Linked DNA regions of Oryctolagus cuniculus. The protein of the gene in region 1 interacts with the protein of each later gene in a pairwise test. Links are inferred from orthologs where the notes say so. Each region holds a gene or a part of one and is shown in the gene's direction. Other genes may lie near its edges.

Region 1 (3,458 bases):
GCCCTGCCAGCCCTGCTGACATAGCGTCTTCCCTCTCTCCCTAGAGACTGGTGGAGAGTCGCCGGCAGCAGATCCTGCGGGAGTTTGAAGAGCTGCACAGGCGGCTGGATGAGGAGCAGCAGATGCTGTTTGCACGACTGGAGGAGGAGGAACAGGACATTCTCCAGCGACTACGAGAAAATGCTGCTCACCTTGGGGACAAGCGCCGGGACCTCGCCCACCTGGCTGCAGAGGTGGAGGGCAAGTGCTTACAGTCGGGCTTCGAGATGCTTAAGGTTCGACCGTTGCCCCTGCATAGCCCCTCAGGTCGTGCACAGTATAGCTTCGCACAGCCAGTATGTCAGCCTGGGAGGCTCGCTCTTCCACTCTGCTTCCCTAGATCCAGTCTTTCCTTCCAGACATACAAGGATCTCTTCCTACAGAAAGTCCTCTGATCTCTCCCATCCTTTCTAATCATGGTCTTATGTCCTGTCAACAATTATGTACTTAATTTGTACCCAAGGGGGAAAAAAATCACTTTTTGAAAGGACAAAAGTCATAGTCTGAATAAGTTAAAAAAAAAAAAAAAAAACTATGCATTAGAAATTTTGTGAAACCAGTTACTTTTAAGTCCTGGATTTTGAATCACCTAGTGCTGAAGAACAGAAACATAGCTTAAAGGATACTTGTAAAGAATACCTTGCTTTTGATATACCAATGATGCCTCTAAAATGTTTGAAGTAGTGTTATTCTCTTAAACAGATAAATCATATTAGCCAGGCTGTAGGGGACATACTTTTTATCTTAGATATCAGATTACCAGCATTTGAATCATTGAGGCTTCATTGTACATTTATATGCATGTTGTGTATTGCTCGGTATTTATTATTCCCGTGTTCTTCATGTCTGTGTGTTCTGCTTTCCACATTAAACTGGAAAATCCTTAAGGGGCAGAGATTTGTCTTCTTTGTCTTCTGGACCCCAAGTATTCTCAAATTAGGATTGGCACGCAGTTGTTAATGTTCATTAACCAGTGCTGGCTAGGGAATACCAAACCACAACAGGAAAGAGTGGTTTGTTTTGTGCTGCCAGTCAGAATTCTCTGTCCTGAGATCCTCAGGGAGACACAGTGTGTGGTTGGTACTTGGGGCACAGAGTGAAGAGCAGACACAATCCCTGTCCCTTGCAGGGAGCTCCCAGTGAGCCTGAGGAGCAAAGACAAACACCAAGAAACCATTTGGAAGTGATTCAAATTATCAAGCTCCACAATGACCAAAAGTTGAAAATGGGGATCCAGTTGGGAGAGAAGCTCGGATGCCCCTGGAACTCTTCGCCCTGCACTGGGACCCTCAGTTTTCTCTGTGCCTTTTTAGAGATCTAGAGCTTTGGGGAGGAGGGGAAACCTTTTGCCTTCAGGACCCTTGAATACCAGGACCAATATTGCTTTCTTTTCTCCTTCCCTCTAGGATGTCAAAAGTACCCTGGAAAAGTAAGTGATTCTTAAATCTCTTTGAGTGAGTTAGGGCTTGTCTTAGATGCTGGGAGTTCAGTAAGGAGGTGGGGGAATAATGAGGGGAAAGTCATACAGGCTGGGTAGGATATGGGAGAAGGTCCAAGAAACCAGTTAGGGAACAGATCATCAGGACTAATAATCCCTTTTCCCCTTTGAGCATCAGGACTTCCTCAGTAAGAAGAATGATAACATAGAAACAGGTTCTCCTTGCGTCTATTGGTAAATTACGTCCAAGCAAGATGGCAGGAGGAACGGGTTGGTGGAGCCAATGGGCTTACCCATGGGCATGAAATATAAGACACACCCCTTCCCCCCACCCACCCACCACTGACCTTGTCAACATAAGAATCTGTCCCGGGAACCAGTGGCTCTCTGTGGATTGGCGAAAGGAAGCAGTTGTCTTCAGGGAGGAGGGGAAAGTGGGAAGATGGAGTTTTAGTTTCTCCCTAAAGATGACAACATCTGATAGCCGCCTGGCTTCAGCTTCCCCTAACCTTGCCCTTAATCTCCCCATCCCCTCCTAGATGTGAGAAGGTGAAGACCATGGAAGTGACTTCAGTATCTATAGAGCTGGAAAAGAACTTCAGCAATTTTCCCCGACAGTATTTTGCCCTAAGGAAAATCCTTAAACAGCTAATTGGTGAGTTGTTCCCAAAAGGAAATTAGCAGAGGGAATTGCCAGAGAGAACAAAGTCTTCAGACCCTACTTTATGTGGGCTTCAGTTATCCCGTCTCTCTTCATTCACACACCCATCTTCACCCAACTTTGAATGTCACCCTGAGTCACAGAACTCAAAATGAGAAGAAGCCTTAGGTATCACCTACTCTGAGATCCACACTTTTCTAAATAGAGACTTGGAAAGGTTAAATAGTTTGCCCAGGTTGTTAGATAGGGTGGCCGTCTAAAGCTAGGATGAGCTGAATAGTGAAAGGATGTGTCCTTAATATTCATGCAAGGAAAGTGGTCATTAACCAGGACAGCTCTGGGAAAACACATACACCTCACCCTATTCGTAGACCATAGTGCTGTCTTGCTCTGTATCTTTCTTAACATAACACTTTCCTTCCTGGCCCTCAGACCATGCCTTGCACCTCTCTGTACAGAGCAATAGATGATGATGTCGGAGGATGACAGGGAGAGTGGGAACCTTAGAGTGGTCCCTGCAGGGTCGGGATGAGAAGGGTAGCCTTCATTCTCCTCTCCCTCAGGAGACGCCCTGGGTTAGAGAGGTAACTTTTAAGGGACCAGGCTCTGTAGAGGCAGGCTGGAAAAGTGAGGCAGGGACATTTAGCTATTCCCATCCTCATCTAGCTCCCCACTCTGGCTTCTCCCGCCAGCGGATGTGACCCTGGACCCCGAGACTGCTCATCCTAACCTAGTCCTATCAGAAGACCGTAAGAGCGTCAAGTTCGTGGAGACAAGACTCCGGGATCTCCCCGACACACCACGGCGTTTCACCTTCTACCCTTGTGTCCTGGCTACTGAAGGTTTCACCTCAGGTCGACACTACTGGGAGGTGGAGGTGGGCGACAAGACCCACTGGGCAGTGGGTGTGTGCCGGGACTCTGTGAGCCGAAAGGGCGAGCTGACTCCACTCCCTGAGACTGGCTACTGGCGGGTACGGCTGTGGAATGGGGACAAATATGCAGCCACCACCACACCTTTCACCCCGTTGCATATCAAAGTGAAACCCAAACGGGTGGGCATATTCCTAGACTATGAGGCTGGCACGCTGTCTTTTTATAACGTCACAGACCGTTCTCACATCTACACCTTCACCGATACCTTCACAGAGAAACTTTGGCCCCTGTTCTACCCAGGCATACGGGCCGGTCGGAAGAATGCTGCACCACTTACCATCAGGCCTCCAACAGATTGGGAGTGACAGGTTGGGACGCGGGAGGAATCGGGGTGAGGCAGGGTCAAGAATACGGGCCTTCCTTCCTGTGGCCTGCGGGAACGTCT
Region 2 (5,372 bases), on another chromosome or scaffold:
CTCCTCCCTCCCCGCCTATTCCCAAGGTAGGGGCACTCGGCTGCCCCGCCTCCTGGGAGCCCCTGCAGCGCCCAGCCGGGTGGCAGAGCCCAGTTGTCTTCAGGGACCCCAGGAGGTGGCCCCTGGCTCCTGGGACTGGGGGGGGACGGGACGGGGGGGGTGCAGGGGAAGGGAACTCCCCACCAGGAGAGCCAAAGACAGGGTTTGCCTTAGCCCAGGAGCCCCCCCAGCGCCCCCCTCTCCCCCCGGGCGGCCAGCTGCTTTCCCCCCTAGCCCTGCCCTGCGCTGCATGGTCCCCTACCCTGGGCAGCCAGGAAGGAATGCAAACGGGGGAGAATCATCCACGGACATTAAAAAAAATTAAAAAGACTGTAGGGCCCTCTCCCACCTCCGCTCACCCCCACTCCGCCACCCCCAAGCCCCTTTCCCTGAGGGGCCCGCCGCCCCCACCCCTGGCCCAGCGTGGAGTGCCAAGGCCCGCCCCGCCCCCTCCCCGGGCCTGGGAGTGAGATTGCACATGAACTACTGTAAAGGAGGAGGAGCGGCGTCGAGAAATGTGAACCGCTAGAGTATCCGTGATACGAGAATAAACTAAACGCCTTTGTAACAAAAAAAAAAAAAAAAAAAAAGTTGTGCCTGTTGTTTTTAGTCTGGATCCTACACCCTTGTTAGAAACCTAATTGTCAAATTCTCCTCCCATTCTCGGGCTTATCTTTTTTGCTTTTTGCTTTCTTGATGGTGCTGTCTGAAGTGCCAAAGTTTCACGTTTTAATGAGGTCAAATTGATCCACTTTTAGACTTTTTGTGCATTTTTGCAGTATTTTTGTACATGGAAAATTATTTGAAAGTAACAAAATTAAATATCACATGTATGCCTAATAGAGTTTAGAAAACTATGCACTAAACCACCCACAAGGAGTAGAAATACAATTTTTCATGTTCTACTCTGGACAAGTCTAGTGGTTTGTTTGTTTGTTTGTTTTCCTGGCTTAGTCCCATGATGCGACTTCTCTGTAGAGAATTCGCGGATTATAACACAAAAATGTAAGATCTTCCGCTCTCTAGGTAGGAGAGCCAGGCACACGCTGGGACACCGAGGTGCGGCGCTTAACCTGAGCCCCAGAGCGCTTGAGCTCATTTTGGAAGGTGCTTTTAGGGCATCCCAGATAAAGCGATACGGGTGGAAGCACTGGACGGCCAGCCGGGCTGGAGCTCAGCGCACACGCGCGGCCGCGGCCTCTCGTGGCGCTGAGTGGGTTTGGGGCTGGAGGCGGCGCGGCAGCTTCGCGGAGAGGGAGTTCATGAAGTGCGGAGGAGACTCCGGGAGCGAAAGGGAAGCCGGACCCGGCCGGGAAAGGATAGCGTCTGCGATCCACGGTGCGTGCCGACCGCGCGCACACGCGGGGATGCCCGCGGGACAAGCCCAGGCGACCCCTGCGGTCCAGCCTGACTCCCCTGGCGCCCCCTCCGCGGGGAGCTGCGGCGGCTCTCGCCTTCGCGTGTCAGGTTCGCTCTTACTCCATTTCCTGCCTGCGACCCAGGAGACGGATTCTACGCCCCAAATTGGGAAACCCCGACCCACACACCACGTGGGTCTTGGGAAGAGGGGCTGAGGCGGAATTAAGCGGGGGCCACGCGTGGCTTGCGGCTGCGGTTCCCAGCCCTGGCGGCGTATCACCACCGCCCGCTCTGCCGCTCCACCGCACGAGGCCGCGTCCGTGCGTGCGTGCGTGGCAGCAGGTGCAGCGCGCCGGACTACGACGTGACAGCAGGTGCAGCGCGCCGGACTACGACGTCCCGGCGGGGGCGCGCACAGAGCGGGAACCTGCAGCCCGCGGAGGCGCCCGCGGCGCACAGGGCAACACGCGGCGGGCGTCACCGTGTCCGGCCCCCTACGGGCCCTGGCCCAAGCCACAGGGCAGGGCGCGCGGGCGAACGCCCGCTGGGGCCCTCGGCCGCCGGGACACGCGGCGCCGGCGTCCGCCCCACAGTGCCTCGCGGCGCGCACGCGCAGGCGGCGGCTCCCAGCGTGCAGCGCGCGGCCGAGCCCGCAGCGGGCCGCCTCTGGCCGCCCCGCCGGGCCGCCGGGCCCCAGACGCGGGAGGATGGCGCTGAAGCGGATCCAGAAGGTAAGGGAGCCGCCCACCCACGCTCCGCCCTGGGCGTCCAGGTGTGGAGACGAAGGCGGGGCGTCGCCGCCGAGTGACTGGCGGCCGGCCCGCGAGCCAGGAACCGCCGCCGGCGCGGTGGGCGGGGGCCGTGGGCTTGGCCGCCGGCGCGGTGGGCGGACCCGCGTCCCGGGGGCGGGGCCACCGGCGCGGTGGGAGGGGCCGTGTCCCGGGGGCGGGGCCTGCCGCAGACGCCTTGCGGGGCGGCGGCAGGTGCAGCTCCGCGGTAGCTGGGTGCTCGTCCTAGAGTGTGAGGAGTGCGGGCGGAAGACAACGACGGTCTTTGCAGTTCGGCCGCGCTAGTGAGCTGTTAGCGCACCTGCCTCCAGGCTTGTCAACGATCGTATTTGGTGCCCGCCTTGTTCGCGTGGCGTCCGTGTCGCTGTTTGATAGCAGGGGTGGCCATCACCTTGCGCGTTAACTGCCCAGGAGTTCACGGCGGGTCATTGGTCGGAGTGGCAGGACGCGGGGTTGGTGGGCGGGACTTGGCCAGGCTGCGGTCCTGTTTAGGCCTTCCTGGCCTGCATGCACTCCCGTCTGTACGACTCCCGCCCAGGGCTCCGGTCCTTGTGTGATGCCCGTGGGGGCAGCCCGGGTAAGCTGTCGGCCTGGGTGCTTTGCGAACGCGCTATGTGTTAAGGTTTGTAGTGCCAGAGGGTGCAGCCTCACAGGGCGTTGTACAAGGTTTTCCTGGGGATGGAGCTGGGCCTCTGAGCCGGCCTGTCAGGGGAGCCTGCGGAAAAGCCCGGGGTGTGGACAGCTCTGAGCTGCAGGGGCTTTGGCCTGAACTGGCCTTTCTTGGCCCCACCTGTTCAGTCGCCGCTCAGCTGTCCCGGGAGTGCCTTCACACATGGACATGGCTGTGCCAGTCCCTGAGGCTCGATGGTGGAGGTGAGAGATGAGAACAGCGGGGAGGTGAGCACAGAGGGAGGTGAGCACAGAGGGAGGTGAGTGCAGAGGGAGGTGAGTGCAGAGGGAGGTGAGAGCTGCACGGAGGTGAGTGCAGCGGGGAGGTGAGCGCAGGGGGAGGTGAGCGCAGAGGGAGGTGAGTGCTGGGGGAGGTGAGCTCAGGGGGAGGTGAGCACAGGGGGGAGGTGAGCTCAGGGGGAGGTGAGGGCAGAGGGAGGTGAGCTCAGGGGGAGGTGAGGGCAGAGGGAGGTGAGCGCAGAGGGAGGTGAGGGCAGGGGGAGGTGAGCACAGGGGGAGGTGAGCACGGGGGGGGGGAGGTGAGTGCAGGGGGGAGGTGAGCGCAGAGGGAGGTGAGCGCAGGGGGAGGTGAGGGCAGCACGGAGGGGAGCGGCGTGATGGCAGAGTGCTGTGGGTGCAGAGCGGGGAGGTGAGTGGGGCAGAGCGGTTCATCGGGACACCGTGGCCCCATGTTTCGGAGGCGCCCTCTGCCCCCCTTCTGGGCCTCAGTGGTTCCCAGGCTCCCCTGCACGTCCAGGTCCAGTGAGGACAGGGGTTCAGGGGGGCTGTGCCCACTGAGAGCAGCCAGTGAGGGGCTGGAGGGGTGGGGGAGGCAGCCCTTGGGGGCAAAACACGCCGACCTGTCCTGTTAGCTGGCTCTGGCTTTAATACCCTCGTCATGGCCAAACACATTTGCAGGGAAGTGAGGGCAACAGCAGGTGGCCAGAGAGGTGAGGGCTAGTGGCGTGATGAGTGGACCAGACACATCCAGGGGATCAGCAGAGTGGGTTTTTAAAGATTTATTTATTTATTTGAAAGAGTTACAAAGAGACAGGAGAGGCAGAGAGAGAGGTCTTCCATCCGCTGGTTCACTCCCCAACTGGCCACAACAGCCGGAGCTGTGCTGATCAGGAGCCAGGAGCCAGGAGCTTCCTCCGGGTCTCCCACAGGGTGCAGGGGCCCAAGGACTTGGGCCATCTTCTACTGCTTTCCCAGGCCATAACAGAGAGCTGGATTGGAAGTGGAGCAGCCGGGACTGGAACTGGTGCCCATATGGGATGCCGGCACTGCAGGCGGTGACTTTACCCACTACACCACAGCGTTGGCCCCTGCAGGGTCTTTGTGGACGAGGCAGAGCTGGTCCCGTGGAAGGAGAAACACCACGGGCCAGGTGTGCCCTGGACGCGGGGATTGCCCTCCCCTGAGGTGTCCCTGCCACAGGAACGCTGTCCCACATGCCGCCCTCCGTGGGACCCGCAGTGTGCTGGACCGGGAAGGCTGGCATGCGAGGAAGCTTCCTCTTCCATGCAAACTCCGCTTGAGAGCCTGAGAGCCACTGTGCGGCTCCCGGCAGGGAGCACTGGGGGGGGGGGCGCAGGGGGGAGGTGAGCACAGCGGGAGGTGAGCGCAGAGGGAGGTGAGCGCAGAGGGAGGTGAGCACAGAGGGAGGTGAGCGCAGAGGGAGGCGAGGGCAGGGGGGAGGTGAGCACAGCAGGAGGTGAGGGCAGAGGGGAGGTGAGCACAGCAGGAGGTGAGGGCAGGGGGAGGTGAGCGCAGGGGGGAGGTGAGCACAGCGGGAGGCGAGGGCAGGGGGAGGTGAGCACAGAGGGAGGTGAGCACAGAGGGAGGTGAGCACAGCGGGAAGTGAGCACAGCGGGAGGTGAGGGCAGGGGGGAGGTGAGCACAGCAGGAGGTGAGGGCAGAGGGGAGGTGAGCACAGCGGGAGGTGAGGGCAGGGGGAGGTGAGCGCAGGGGGGAGGTGAGCACAGAGGGAGGTGAGCACAGCGGGAGGCGAGGGCAGGGGGAGGTGAGCACAGAGGGAGGTGAGCACAGAGGGAGGTGAGCACAGCGGGAAGTGAGCACAGCGGGAGGTGAGGGCAGGGGGGAGGTGAGCACAGTGGGAGGTGAGGGCAGAGGGGAGGTGAGCGCAGAGGGAGGTGAGCACAGCGGGAGGTGAGCACAGAGGGAGGTGAGCGCAGGGGGGAGGTGAGCGCAGAGGGAGGTGAGCGCAGAGGGAGGTGAGGGCAGAGGGGAGCTGAGCGCAGAGGGAGGTGAGCACAGGGGGGAGGTGAGCGCAGGGGGGAGGTGAGCGCAGAGGGAGGTGAGCACAGGGGGGAGGTGAGCGCAGGGGGGAGGTGAGCGCAGAGGGAGGTGAGCGCAGAGGGGAGGTGAGCGCAGAGGGAGGTGAGCGCAGAGGGAGGTGAGCACAGGGGGGAGGTGAGCACAGAGGGAGGTGAGCCAGTGTTGATGTCCCATAAGGGGGGTCTGGCTATGGTGCAGTTTCTGGCCCCTCCGGGC
Region 3 (5,206 bases), on another chromosome or scaffold:
TCAGAGCATTTGTTCAAGTCCCTGCTGCTCAGCTTCTGATCCAGCTCCCTGCCAATGACACGGGGAAAGCAGCAGTCAGTGGCTCAAGTGCTTGGGCCCCATGAAAGACCCGGATGGAATTCCCAGCTCCTGGCTTCAGTCTGGCCCAGGCCTGGCCACCGTGGCCATTTGGGGAGTGCCTTTCAAATAAAAATAAGTCAATCTTTAAAAAAAAAAAAAAAAAAAAACCACCAAAAACCAGGTGGTGAGGAAAAGGCAGCTATTGGTCCACGTTTGGGTCAAGGGCCATGGTTTGCTCACCTGTGCCCTGGACAATCAATAAAACAATAAAACAATAAATCAAGCCTTGGTTTTTTGCAAAAGCCTTGGCGTTTGTAGAATTCTCTGGTGTAAATATTCCCTGAGGCCAATTTCAAGCTACCAGTGTTCGGCCACTGACCTTGGCGCTGGAAAGGACAAGTGTGGTAACATCACACAGGTGGAGCAGTCAGAAATAACCTTGAACGCACTGGGAACACTGTCTCTCCCTTTCTCTCTGTAACTCCTTCAAATAAATAACCCTATAAAAAAGATAAAATGGAGTAAAATCATGCAGAAGGAATGAGATTTGAGCATTTGCTATCTTTGTTTTGTACAGTTTATTTAGCTGTAAGTTTATGTGATTTTTGAAGCCTTTTAAAAATATTTATTTATTTGAAAATCAGAGTTAGAGAGAGAAGGGAGGGAGGGAGGGAGAGAGAGAGAGAGAGAGAGAATGAATCTTCCCTCCTTTGGTTCACTGCCCAGATGGCCACAATAGCCAGGGCTGGGCCAGGCCAACGCTACAACCCAGGAGCTTCATCTGGGTCTTCCATGTGGGTGGCAGAGGCCCAAGCATGGACTGTCTTCTGCTGCTTTCCTATGTGCATTTGCGGGGAGCTGGATGGGAAATGGAGCAGCTGGGACTGGAACTGGGATGCCAGCATCACAGGTGTGGCTTCATTGGCTATACTGCTATGTTGGCTCCAATTTTGCAACTTTTTAACTTAATTTTTATTATTTTATTTTTAAAAAACTTTGAGGTGTTAATCTACCACCATTCTCTATTTTTTTGTGTATATTTATCCATAGTTTTTATATACTTTTCAAAAAGACTCATTATTTGAAAGGCAGAGTTACAGAGAAGCAGAGGCAGAGAGAGAAAGAGGTTTTTCATCCACTGGTTCACTCCCCAAATGGCTGCAATGGTCGGAGCTGGGCCGGTCCAAAGCCCGGAGCCAGGAGCTTCCTCCAGGTCTCCCACATATGTGCTTGGACCCAAGGACTTGGGCCATTTCCTACTGCTTTCCCAGGCCAAAGCAGAGTGCTGGATCAGAAGTGGAACAGCCAGGACTCGAACCAGTGCCCATATGGGATGCGGCATTTTTACTTGCTATGCCACAGAGCTGGCCCCAATTTTATTTTTAAAGTTTTTTTAATTTATATTTTACATGTGGAGTTGGAGAGATCTTCCATCCATTGGTTCACTCTCCAAATGGCTGAAACAACCAGGGGAGGGCTGCAGTAAGGGGCACAAACTGGAATTCGAACCCAGGACTGTAGAGTTTGTAAAACAGGAGATTAAAAAAAATATGAATTTATGTACATTTCAAGGCTTTTGCAGAAGCGAGGAACCGAATCCAAGCACCGTGGCCCCTTTATCTGGGACATGCGTTTGGTAGGTGCCCGATAAATATTTGTTAAGCAAATGAGTAATGAAAATAAGTCACCCAGGGTGACATCACCCCGTAGCGCTTGTGCGTGCGGGGGCGTGGCTTCCAACGACCCCGCCCCTCGCGTCGCCCCGCGCTCGCGGACGGCTGAGGTGTTTTGGCCCGCGGGCGGAGCCGTAGCCACTCTCTGCCCAGGGTCCCGGGGTGGGGGGCCGCGATGTCGGATAAGGAAGCGATGCCGAGCGGAGGCGCCTCGCAGGCCCGCGCCGACACTATCAGCGACATCCAGGAGCTGATGCGGCGCAAGGAGGAGATTGAGGCGCAGATCAAGGCGAATTACGACGTGCTGGAGGGCGTGAGTGAGGGCTCGGGGCTGCCGGGCGGCGTGGGAGCGCCCCGAGGGCTTGCCGGGACGCTCGGCCGTGGCTGGTTCTCCCACGGCCTCCCTGGGCGGCGGCGCGGGCTGACCGCCCCCTGCGAGGGGCGCGGCGCGGGCGTCTCTCCCGGGGCTGGCCCGGCAGCTCGGTGCCGCCGAGCTCCCCGCGTTGGAGACCAGGAAGCCGATGGCGATCACCGCCGCCTGGGGTCCTGGTGGACGTGGGAGCCGCTGGAACGCCAGTGCGCATGCGGGACGCCTGGGGGCGTGGCTAGAGTGCGGGGCGTGCCGGGGGCGGGGCCTCAGGCGGTGCTCCTACTGCAGGCTCCGTGTGAGATGCCCTGGATGGACAGATCCCTGTGACATGTCCACGGTGGGCAGACCCGTGTGACATGTCCACGGTGGGCAGATCCCTGTGACATGTCCATGATGGGCAGACCCGTGTGACATGTCCATGATGGGCAGACCCGTGTGACATGTCCAGGATGGGCAGATCCCTGTGAGATGTCCACAGTGGTCAGACCTGTGTGACATGTCCATGATGGGCAGACCCGTGTGACATGTCCACGGTGGGCAGATCCTTGTGAGATGTCCACGGTGGTCAGACCTGTGTGACATGTCCAGGATGGGCAGATCCCTGTGACATGTCCACGGTGGTCAGATCCTTGTGACATGTCCAGGATGGGCAGATCCCTGTGACATGTCCACGGTGGGCAGATCCCTGTGACATGTCCAGGATGGGCAGACCCGTGTGAGATGCCCGGGATGGACAGACCCGTGTGAGATGTCCACGGTGGGCAGATCCCTGTGAGATGTCCCAGATGGGCAGACCCGTGTGATATGTCCACGGTGGTCAGATCCCTGTGACATGTCCACGGTGGGCAGACCCGTGTGACATGTCCACTGTGGGCTGACCCGTGTGAGATGTCCAGGATGGGCAGATCCCTGTGACATGTCCACGGTGGGCAGACCCGTGTGACATGTCCACGGTGGGCTGACCCGTGTGAGATGTCCAGGATGGGCAGACCCGTGTGACATGTCCAGGATGGGCAGATCCTTGTGAGATGCCCGGGATGGGCAGATCCCTGTGAGATGCCCGGGATGGGCAGACCCGTGTGAGATGTCCAGGATGGGCAGATCCCTGTGAGATGTCCCGGATGGGCAGATCCATAGGAACAGAAAGTAGTTGCTGGGGTCTGGGGGGAGGGAGTGAGAGTGATTGCTGATGAGGCTTCTTTTTGGGGGTGATGAAGATGTACTAAAATTGAGGGTGAGGGTTGGACGGGTCTGTGAATATTCTGAAAACCACTGAATTGTTCACTTTAGCCTAGTGTTTTGTTTTGTTTTGTTTTGGACAGGCAGAGTGGACAGTGAGAGAGAGAGACAGAGAGAAAGGTCTTCCTTTTGCCGTTGGTTCACCCTCCAATGGCCGCCGCGGCCGGCGCACCGCGCTGATCCGATGGCAGGAGCCAGGTGCTTCTCCTGGTCTCCCATGGGGTGCAGGGCCCAAGCACTTGGGCCATCCTCCACTGCACTCCCGGCCACAGCAGAGAGCTGGCCTGGAAGAGGGGCAACCGGGACAGAATCCGGCGCCCCGACTGGGACTAGAACCCGGTGTGCCAGCGCCGCAAGGTGGAGGATTAGCCTAGTGAGCCGCGGCGCCGGCCTGAATTGTTCACTGCTCAATGGAGCAATTTATGATAAGTGAACAATATCTCAATGAAACTTTCAAAAACGGGGAATCTGTGCTGTGGCCCAGTGGGTTAAGCCACCACTTGTGACACCAGCATGCCATGTCAGAGCTCCAGTTCCAGTCCCGGCTGCTCCACTTCCGATCCAGCTCGCTGCTGTGGCCTGGGAAAGCAGTGGAGGATGGCCTACGTGCTTGGGCCCTGCACCCACGTGGGAGACCCGGAAGAAGCTCCTCACTTCAGTCTGGCCCACCACTGATCATTGGGGCCATCAGGGCCCAGGAGAAAGATGGAAGATCTTTCTCCTCTCTCTCTCCTCTCACTGTAACTCTGACTTTAAAATAAATGTATCTTAAAAAAGAAAAAACTTTCAAAATTGGAACAACTCAGAGACAGCAAGTAATCTGGGATTGTAAAGACTGAATATTGAAGAGAACTGGAAAGAGAATCAATATTTTAATTGTAAAAGGATTTATTATTTATTTGAAAGGCAGAATTTCAGAGAGAGAGAGAGAGACCTTCCATCCACTGGTTCACTCTCCAAATGACTACAACAGCTGGGGCTGGAACTCCATCCAGGTCTCCCCCATGGGTGGCACGGGCACAAGTACTTGGGTACTGGATCAGAGGTGGAACAGCTGGGGTTTGAACTGGTGCTCATATGGGATGTCAGTGTTGCACATGGTGGCTTAACCCAATGCTGGCCCCAGGAATAAATATTTTCTTTATTTTTAAAAGATTTACTTATTTATTTGAAAGTCAGATTTAGAGAAAGAGAGAGATGCAGAGAGCGAGTGAGCTTCCATCCATTGGTCCACTCCCCAAATGGCTGCAATGGCCAGGGCCGAAGCCAGAAGCCAGGAGCTCTTCCAGGTCTCCCATGTGGATAACAGGGGCCCAGGCATTTGGGCTGTCTTCTATTGCTTTTCTCAGACCATTTGCAGGGAGCTGGATTGGAAATGGAGCAGCTGGAACATGAACCAGTGCCTGTATGAGATGCTGGCATCGCAGGCAGCAGCTTTACCTGCTATGCTACAAGGCTGGGGTGGGGCCAGAATAAGTATTTTAGACAGAAGGTTATTTACTGCCTTGTGTGTGAGCCACCAGTTGTGTGGGTCCTTTTTGGGAAGAGATATATATATATATATATATATATATATGATTTATTTATTTATTTGAAAGACAGATTTACAAAGAGGCAGAGGTAGAGAGAGAGAGAAAAATCTTCCATCTGCTGGTTTACTTCCTAGATGGCCACAACAGCCAGAGCTGGGCTGATCTGAAGCCAGGAACTTCATCCAGGTCTCCCACGAGGGTGCAGGGTCCAAGGACTTGGGCCATCTTCCACTGCTTTCCCAGGCCATAGCAGAGAGCTGGATCAGAAGTGGAGCAGCCAGGACTCGAACCTGCACCCATATGGGATGTCTGCACTGCAGGTGGCTGCTTTA

Evidence for each region. The genes of interacting proteins can lie anywhere in the genome.
Region 2: the proteins of TRIM39 (region 1) and UBE2D4 interact in binary tests that used the Homo sapiens proteins (3 or more experiments, as listed by UniProt). The link is inferred for Oryctolagus cuniculus from reciprocal best matches to the Homo sapiens genes TRIM39 and UBE2D4.
Region 3: the proteins of TRIM39 (region 1) and PSMD9 interact in binary tests that used the Homo sapiens proteins (3 or more experiments, as listed by UniProt). The two-hybrid records come from large-scale screens. The link is inferred for Oryctolagus cuniculus from reciprocal best matches to the Homo sapiens genes TRIM39 and PSMD9.

Annotation. Positions count from the first base shown.
Region 1 is NC_091436.1:139,953,260-139,956,717, reverse strand, and holds part of TRIM39 (E3 ubiquitin-protein ligase TRIM39), read left to right. Parts: intron 1-44; coding exon 45-275; intron 276-1,445; coding exon 1,446-1,468; intron 1,469-2,016; coding exon 2,017-2,132; intron 2,133-2,804; coding exon of another isoform or gene 2,805-2,830; coding exon 2,831-3,378; 3' UTR 3,379-3,458.
Region 2 is NC_091447.1:51,529,153-51,534,524, forward strand, and holds the start of UBE2D4 (ubiquitin-conjugating enzyme E2 D4), read left to right. Parts: upstream 1-1,972; 5' UTR 1,973-2,105; coding exon 2,106-2,129; intron 2,130-2,345; exon of another isoform or gene 2,346-2,742; coding exon of another isoform or gene 2,743-2,763; intron 2,764-5,372. UniProt on the Homo sapiens protein: Accepts ubiquitin from the E1 complex and catalyzes its covalent attachment to other proteins. In vitro able to promote polyubiquitination using all 7 ubiquitin Lys residues, but may prefer 'Lys-11' and 'Lys-48'-linked polyubiquitination.
Region 3 is NC_091452.1:7,179,197-7,184,402, reverse strand, and holds the start of PSMD9 (26S proteasome non-ATPase regulatory subunit 9), read left to right. Parts: upstream 1-1,806; 5' UTR 1,807-1,908; coding exon 1,909-2,046; intron 2,047-5,206. UniProt on the Homo sapiens protein: Acts as a chaperone during the assembly of the 26S proteasome, specifically of the base subcomplex of the PA700/19S regulatory complex (RC).